Astyanax mexicanus: one gene and its partner. The protein of the gene in region 1 binds, or shares a complex with, the protein of each later gene. Links are inferred from orthologs where the notes say so. Each region holds a gene or a part of one and is shown in the gene's direction. Other genes may lie near its edges.

The links. Proteins that work in one complex are often made in the same cells at the same time.
Region 2: the proteins of cul3b (region 1) and kctd5a are in contact, whole or in part, in a cryo-EM structure (PDB 8U83), measured with the Homo sapiens proteins. The link is inferred for Astyanax mexicanus from reciprocal best matches to the Homo sapiens genes CUL3 and KCTD5. Residues at the interface, in NP_003581.1 of Homo sapiens: Thr24, Met25, Asp26, Glu27, Lys28, Tyr29, Val30, Asn31, Ser32, Ile33, Trp34, Asp35, Leu36, Leu37, Asn39, Ala40, Glu43, Asn48, Ser50, Leu52, Ser53, Glu55, Glu56, Leu57, Arg59, Asn60, Ala61, Tyr62, Thr63, Met64; in NP_061865.1 of Homo sapiens: Trp45, Phe55, Leu56, Thr58, Thr61, Arg64, Asp65, Lys67, Ser68, Pro96, Thr97, Tyr98, Phe99, Gly100, Pro101, Leu103, Asn104, Tyr105, Leu106, Arg107, His108, Gly109, Lys110, Leu111, Val112, Ile113, Asn114, Lys115, Leu117, Val122.

The regions. Positions count from the first base shown.
Region 1 is NC_064411.1:43,401,319-43,405,073, forward strand, and holds the start of cul3b (cullin-3b), read left to right. Parts: upstream 1-846; 5' UTR 847-1,059; coding exon 1,060-1,122; intron 1,123-3,755. UniProt on the Homo sapiens protein: Core component of multiple cullin-RING-based BCR (BTB-CUL3-RBX1) E3 ubiquitin-protein ligase complexes which mediate the ubiquitination and subsequent proteasomal degradation of target proteins.
Region 2 is NC_064410.1:59,428,765-59,432,519, reverse strand, and holds the start of kctd5a (BTB/POZ domain-containing protein KCTD5a), read left to right. Parts: upstream 1-1,351; 5' UTR 1,352-1,409; coding exon 1,410-1,634; intron 1,635-3,755. UniProt on the Homo sapiens protein: Its interaction with CUL3 suggests that it may act as a substrate adapter in some E3 ligase complex. Does not affect the function of Kv channel Kv2.1/KCNB1, Kv1.2/KCNA2, Kv4.2/KCND2 and Kv3.4/KCNC4.

The DNA.
Region 1 (3,755 bases):
TATAACCCTTACACTCCAACATTGGATTGTGGGGGTCTCTGTGCTGATATGTATATGGATTCTCCATATCTTTAAGATGAACTGGAGCGCAGAACTGATCATACTAATAATCCAACATTACCGAACTGCAATGCCATATATGGTTGGTCCCATATAGGCCCCATCATTACAGTGCACCTTAGCTTCACAAGTGTACAACTTGGATGGGGCTCATCACTAAAACATAATAGGCCACTTAAAATATATGAGTTTTTTTATTTATTTTACCTAATTGAAAACCTCTGAAATATAATCAAGTGGAAGATGGATGATCATAAGCCAACAAACAAAGCTGAACTGCTGAAAGTTATTAAAAAGCTGTGTGAAAGACTGGTGGAGGAGAACATGCCAAGATGCATGAAAACTGAGGTTATTTCAGAATAAAACAGCAATGTTCATTTTACTCAAGCATATACCTATAAATTGCAAAATCAGAGAAACTGATTAAGAAACTGAAGTGGTCTATTTATTTTTTTTCCAGAGCTGTATGTGGGGCCAATATGAAACCAATTTAAAAAGAAAACTTTTTTTTATTATTTGCTGTTTATTTTACAGACATTTTGAGAAGAAAACTCATAGTAAACTTAATAGTAATGTTTTTTTTTGTTTGTTTGTTTGTTTGTTTTATTGAATGAATGTGTCAGTGCATGAATATATGAAAATATAGGAGACCATCTCATATCTATTCGCATGTGTTGCAGTAGTGAGAGAGGTTCACATACACACAGTGTGTGTGTGTGTGTGTGTGTGTGTGTGTGTGTGTGTGTGTGTGTGTGTGTGTGTGTGTGTGTGTGTGTGTGTGTGTGTGTGTGTGTACCGTCCGCCATCATTGGAGAGCAGCACAGCACAGCAGAGCCGAGCAGTCAGGCGCTTGTCAACAAGTCCCAAACTACTGGGATCTCCAGCTATTAAAGAAGGTCAAGTGGAGGCTGATCATCGGCTCCACGGACTTATCTCCCTTCCCTTTACCAGGACAAGTCTTTCATGTGAGCGAGGAGACCACCGGGGAGGCAGCCAAACATGTCAAATCTCAGCAAAGGCGGCACCAAAAAGGACACCAAGATGAGGATACGAGCCTTTCCTGTGAGTACAGGCCGGCGTCTGGAACGCCGCAGCCGGCGAGGCCTTCACTCGAGCTCCGGGGATGCGGGCTTCAGGCTCAGGCTTGAAGGCCCGAGTGCTCTTAAGCAGGGGTGCATAAATGTTGTCACCCATCCAAGAGTGAGCCGAATTACAGAATTAGAAATGCTGCAGCAGTAGCACCAACACCAACACCAGAGTGTCCATTAACTAGAGACAAGTCACCTCATTATAGCTGCATGTTTCCTGCTGACAGATTTTAGCTACACCAACCTTAACGCTAGGTTATATCATTTAGGTAGAGCTAGCTAACGTATGTAAACGCTAGCTATGTGACCCTTACTTGTTTTATGCCGATTATTTTTTGGAAATGCTCCGAATGTGAACGACATTCATGAGCTTAGCTAAGTTATTCGAGCTGTTCGTCTTCTCTTTTCACGAAGGTCACGAATAAAAACGTCCTAATCGACTTGTGTGTGAGAATAAACCGTGTTCAGACCGTCTTTCAGTCCCTCACTGATTCAGTTAACTAGGTCCCTGAAATGCGATATAAACCTGTGTATGAGGCTAACGTAGTTAGCTAGCTAGCTATTTAGCTAACCTAGCTAAATAGCTAGCTTGGCTCACTTGCGCAGTTCGGAGACTTCTAGCCCCGTTAGCTTAGCTGGCTAACTGACAGATAGCGCTAGATAATGTATTTTCACTGTTACACGAATTCGAATTATGCTCTTACGTGACTTTCGTACGTTTTTAAATCCCACACAACTGGACAACTCGAGCAGAAATGTTGTGTGACGCATTGAACGTAGCTAAATTAGCCAGCCAGTTAGCTTTTAGTTAGTTAACGCTAACGTAAAACATGTTATTAGCCCTTAGCTAGCTTAGTTAGCTATCGGCTCTTACCAGGACTTTAGCTAGTTGGTCAGTATGTCTTAGCTGTAACTAACTAGCCAGCTAGCTATCTTAGTTATGCAGAAGATTAAAACATAAAACATGCTATGACTGTACGAGCTATGTTGTTTTAATTATATAAGCTAGCTATTTCATTTAGTATGTGTTAATTACGTTAAAGTTAGCAAGCTACGCTAGCTAAGGAGTCCGTGTTTCCTGAGTGCCACTTAATAATAAAAAAAAAAAAGGTTCAGAATGTAAAAATCCATCCCATGATTTTGTTCCAACTGCATAGACTCTTGAGCTGCAGCAGAGCCGTCCGGGCAGTTAAAACAAAATCCTGGGGTGGATGTTTACTTTGTGGGGCCTGGATTAGCCACCTGACATGGCTTTTTTGAAAGGGTTCTGTTTTGTTTTCTTCTCTTAATTGACATCAATAACATTAGCAGGACGTGAGCAATACTTTAATATTGCATGATAATCGAGTGTTATGTATTATTAATATTTTTAAAAGGTCTGAAACCTTTTCAAGGTCCTGGACAAACAAAAAAACAATATTGAAAACAATAAACAGCCTTGCAATGCAACCCTATTATAACTTGGGAGCATAATATTGTGTATATAATGTATAGTAAACTATGTGTATTATCTCATTATGTTAGCTAGCAAGGTATGTCTAATAGTATTGCAAAAATCTAAAAACAATGTGTATTTTAGCCATAGAAACCTAGGTTACAGAGCCCAACAGATGGAAAAATACAATTTTGTGACTTCATAAATATTTTGCAACCTCAGTTAAAAGAAGAAACATTTAATTAGGTAAATTTAGGGAACAAATGGCTTAATCAGGAGGATGATGTCCTTGATGTATGCCTGTATTTTACAGTACAGTATTCAAATTCCTTCAGACTAAAGAATAAAGTGTAGAAACCAAACTGCGTGAACAGTATACATTAACACACATTTTCTTCTCCCAACCTGTGAAACGGACAGATTTCACAATACCCCACCTGAAGGAATTCGGCCTACTTTTTCTTGTGAAACTATTACGCTATGTGTGAATTCCTCTGAACCACGCCACTGTGTTTGTACCTGTTCCAATCATTTGGCTTAGATACAGTTTTATCTTGAGCTTTGCTGTTTAAACAGTCTGAAATAATGTGACCTTACAGATGGATAAGGGCAGAAAGATAAATGAAAGTGGTGTGGACTTGGTCGAGTCATGTTTACTTAGATCTTATGGCTCAGTATAGCGTTTAGAGTGACTGCATGGCATTCTGTTACTGCGGACAATGTAAACGCTTGAGATGCTTTGATAAAAAATGGACTAGGTACTACTTTGTACGGGGCACGATTCATCCTAAATACTAAAATTATTTTCAGAATGTGTCAGATATTCAAGTTTTGAAGGAGCTGAAATCATTATAGTACTGTGAAACCGGACAAAAACATATTGATGCAACCAAAACAAAACAATGTGAAGCTCCGAATAAATAACATGTCTGTGTGATGTGTATAAAACACAGTAAAAAAAAGAGCAGCTTTTAAAACCATTAAGTGACACAGTAAATGACAAATAACATAATACACATCACAGTACACTGTATTAATCACAGTGTCTTGACATAGTGATATGTGCAATTTTCATTTTTTTTTTTTTTTTTGCAATTTTACACAGTATCAGATATTTTGATTGCAGCCCATTTCAATCTGGATATTGTGTCTTTTTAAATAATATAATTTAC
Region 2 (3,755 bases), on another chromosome or scaffold:
ACTTGACAATTTTCAAATTTTAATAGAATATAGTGTATGGAATATAAAAAGTGGGCATACTTTGGTTGAATTTGACACAAAACACTGGTAAATAACGGTCAAACCAGTTAACAAAAGACTTTGGAGTTTTTCATTTTTAAATGGTTTTTTAAGTATCATAAAATTAATATGAATGTTTAACAGGAATATCGTGAGTTTGGGCGTGACATCTTTTCCAAATTCATCATCTGACTTCCTAGGTAAAATCAACACAGCCTTACTGTTTAAGGGTGGTTTATATGTTGTTTAACTTTGCTCCTTAAATAAATAAATAGGTTTCCTTTGTCTCGTAATACATTTTGACAAACAACAAAACAAACAGTGGAAATGTGAACAACAGCAAAACATTTACATAACATAACACAACTGACTGAGTGCTAATTATTCCCTCACTGTTATTTTAACAAAATCAAACACATACCTGAAGATGAGGTTTAGCCAATATACCAGCTTTTTGGAACAGGCAGACCACCTGGCATATCATAGCAACTGCCACTACAGCACCCATGGCATACAGCAACCACAAAGCATACACCCCGACCCCAAATACCATAGCAACCATCTAGCAATGTCATATCAACAAGCTAGCAATTCCATGCAAATCTGCTGGGATACACAACAACAACCATCTTGCAACATCTCGGCCTCTAGTGCACTACAGTATCTATTGAGTAAAAAGTATTGTATTTTAACTAACTTAGATTTATTTTCACACCTTTCAAATATTCTTAATGTTATCTATTATTTTACACTCAACTATATCATCTTACTATATAAAACACATCTAATAAACCTGTAGAGAAACAGAAAAGTTTGGACTCATCTTAAATTAGGTGTTTTTCTATTATTAAAAAATTGTCTGCATTAGACTAATACTAAAGTAATACTAAAGTCGTCCAAACTACGAAAGAAAAACATGGAATTATTTAATAAACCAAAAAGTGTAAAACAAACCAGAATATGCTTCATATTTTACATTATTAAAAGTAGCGCCGTATGCTTAGATGTCAGCTTCACGAGGTAGAGTCACCTGGAATTCAGGTTTTCAGTTAACAGCTGTGCTGAACTCATCAAGACTCACCAGGACCGCCCCAGATACCAGTAATTTTGGTTTGTTTAACACTTTTAAGTTACTACATGATTCTTTATGTTTTCCTTAATAGTTTGGATCACTTCGGTATTAATTTATTATATAGGACAATATAAATAATCGAATCGCACACACTCCGCAGGGTGGGCGGGTCTGTGGAGCGGGGTGGGCGGGTCTGTAGAGCGGGCGTGTGAGCGCTTCCTGCCCCGCTCCGCTCCGCACTCTGCCGCTGGGAGGCGGAGAGACAGACGGAGGGAGAGAAGGAGAGAGAGAAGGAGGGATGGCGGAGAAGAGCCCTGACCCGAGCGGCTCGGCCGGCCGGAGGTGCGCCGCGCTGTCCCCGGCGGACAGACTGCAGTCCTCGGGGAGCGGCGGATCCTCCAAGTGGGTTCGGCTGAACGTCGGCGGGACCTACTTTCTCACCACGCGGCAGACGCTGTGCCGGGACCCCAAGTCCTTCCTGTACCGCCTGTGCCAGGCGGACCCGGACCTCGACTCCGACAAGGCAAGCGGGCAGAGCCAGCTGCACTCCCCCGGCTTTACTAGCTTCTGTAGCGGGGTGGGACAGTCTTAAGGTGGAATTTAGGTGGTTTGCTGAGTTTGTAATTTGTTTTTTTTAGCTAAAACCGAGCTAACAAAGGGTAACTAGAGTAGCGGCAGCAGCGGGCTGTGCTACTCAGGCTAGCGGCGGTAGTGAGGGTAGAGTAACGGATTGGCAAACGGGCTATCCCCGCTCCTTGGAGGTTTTTTACAGTTTTGTTTTTAACAGTGCGAGGTTGTTTAATTTAACACAAGTTTGTAATCAATTTTAGAATATGTATAAGCTATTTAAACAGCCAGTTTGTGAGATATTGCTCGTGCTGGAGTAGCTAACGCTATATACTTAGTTAAGCTAGTTTACATGACAAACCGGCAGTTAGCCTGCTAGCTGCTAATGCTAAAGCTAAATGTTAGCTTAGCATAGGCAAAATAACAGTAGCAGCAGTAACGTTAACTTAGTTATAGTACTATAAATACTATATATTACAATATAAAAAACATACTATTAAATTATAAGAGTTAGCTATTATCGGTATTATAAGAGTATAATGTTGAAATAAATTTTAGCTAATTTAACTACTTAGCTAACCTATATTTTTAGCCAGTGCTAAACATTAGCTTAGCATAGGTAATAATAAAAGTAACAGCTAGTAACGTTGGTAGTAGGAGTAGCAGCAGTACTACAGATTACTAATAATAATATAAATTTAAATTATAATTGTAAAGTTATATATTATGGTTATTATATTAGAAAATGTTGTAATGTAAGCTAATTTACTAAAATAAAAAAAATATATATTAGCATAGCATAGGCAATAACAACAGTAGCAGCATTAATAATATACTGTATTTAAAAAGAAACAATGAAATTATAAGTTAGCTATTATCGTTATTACATTAGTATACTGTTGAAATTTAATCTAATTTAACTACTTAGCTATATTTTTAGCTAGTGTTAAACATTAGCTTAGAATAGGCAATGATGACAGTAATAGCTAGTAGTAATAGGAGTAGCAGCAATAGTACCACTACACTACTATAATAATACATATAAATTATAACTAACAGTTAGCTATTGTGGTTATTATATTAGTTAACATTATAATGTAACTTAACTAATGTTTTTAGCTAATGCTAAACATTAGCTCAGCACATGCTTTAATTTTGGGTGCTATTAGCTGTAATAAAAATACTATAACTGGGTTAAAAGGGTAACAGTTGTTTTGGTACACTGTATTCATTTTTAAACAGATATTAATGTTTGGACACATTCTCATTATTATTTCTCCTTTATTTGTATTATTTACTACATTGTAGATTTAAAGTTTTTCATGTTTTTTTCAGGAAACAAACACAACTACTACTAAAATTAATTGATTTAGGCAGATTTTTGCGGATGCACCTACGTGGGAATTCTGGCACAATGTCGATATTACACATGCATATATTTATCCATGCTGATATACACATTTTTTTTACTCGCAGAGAAACCACACACCCAGATATAACTTTAGAAACAATTGGAGCAGTTTAGCTTACATTTTAGCTTTGAGTCAACTGTGTACTAACAATAAAATCAAAAGTTTCTCCTGAAAAATTATTTTCACATTTATTAAGATAAATGGTCTTTACATAGCTTTACACACAATACAGGTCAAAGAAAACAATAGATATATTAAAACTATTATAAAGAAGTCACCTCTATTTTCAGTATATAATTAAAGCTCTAAGCAATACTGCTGCTACTTCTATTAGTTCACCCTATCTTAACCTTATTTGTCAGTGTGTGTCTCCTGAGGCATGTGTTAATGTGTTGTTATTCCTCACTGCAGTTGGGTCATTGCATTGTTGTTTGTCGGCTGTTATACATTCTTTCTAACTGCCAACTGTCTTTATCCCCTCAGAAACCTATGTTGTTGATGATTATCTTTGTTTTTAGTTGTCAGACCTGTTTAGCATTCACTTAAAAGGGTGATGGTAGAGTTTCATATTCAAAAAACTGTTGAGAGTTGAATAATTTTTGTTATTTTAGTATTATTTTACACTAAATGATATCATCTGTTATTATAATAACACATCTAATAAA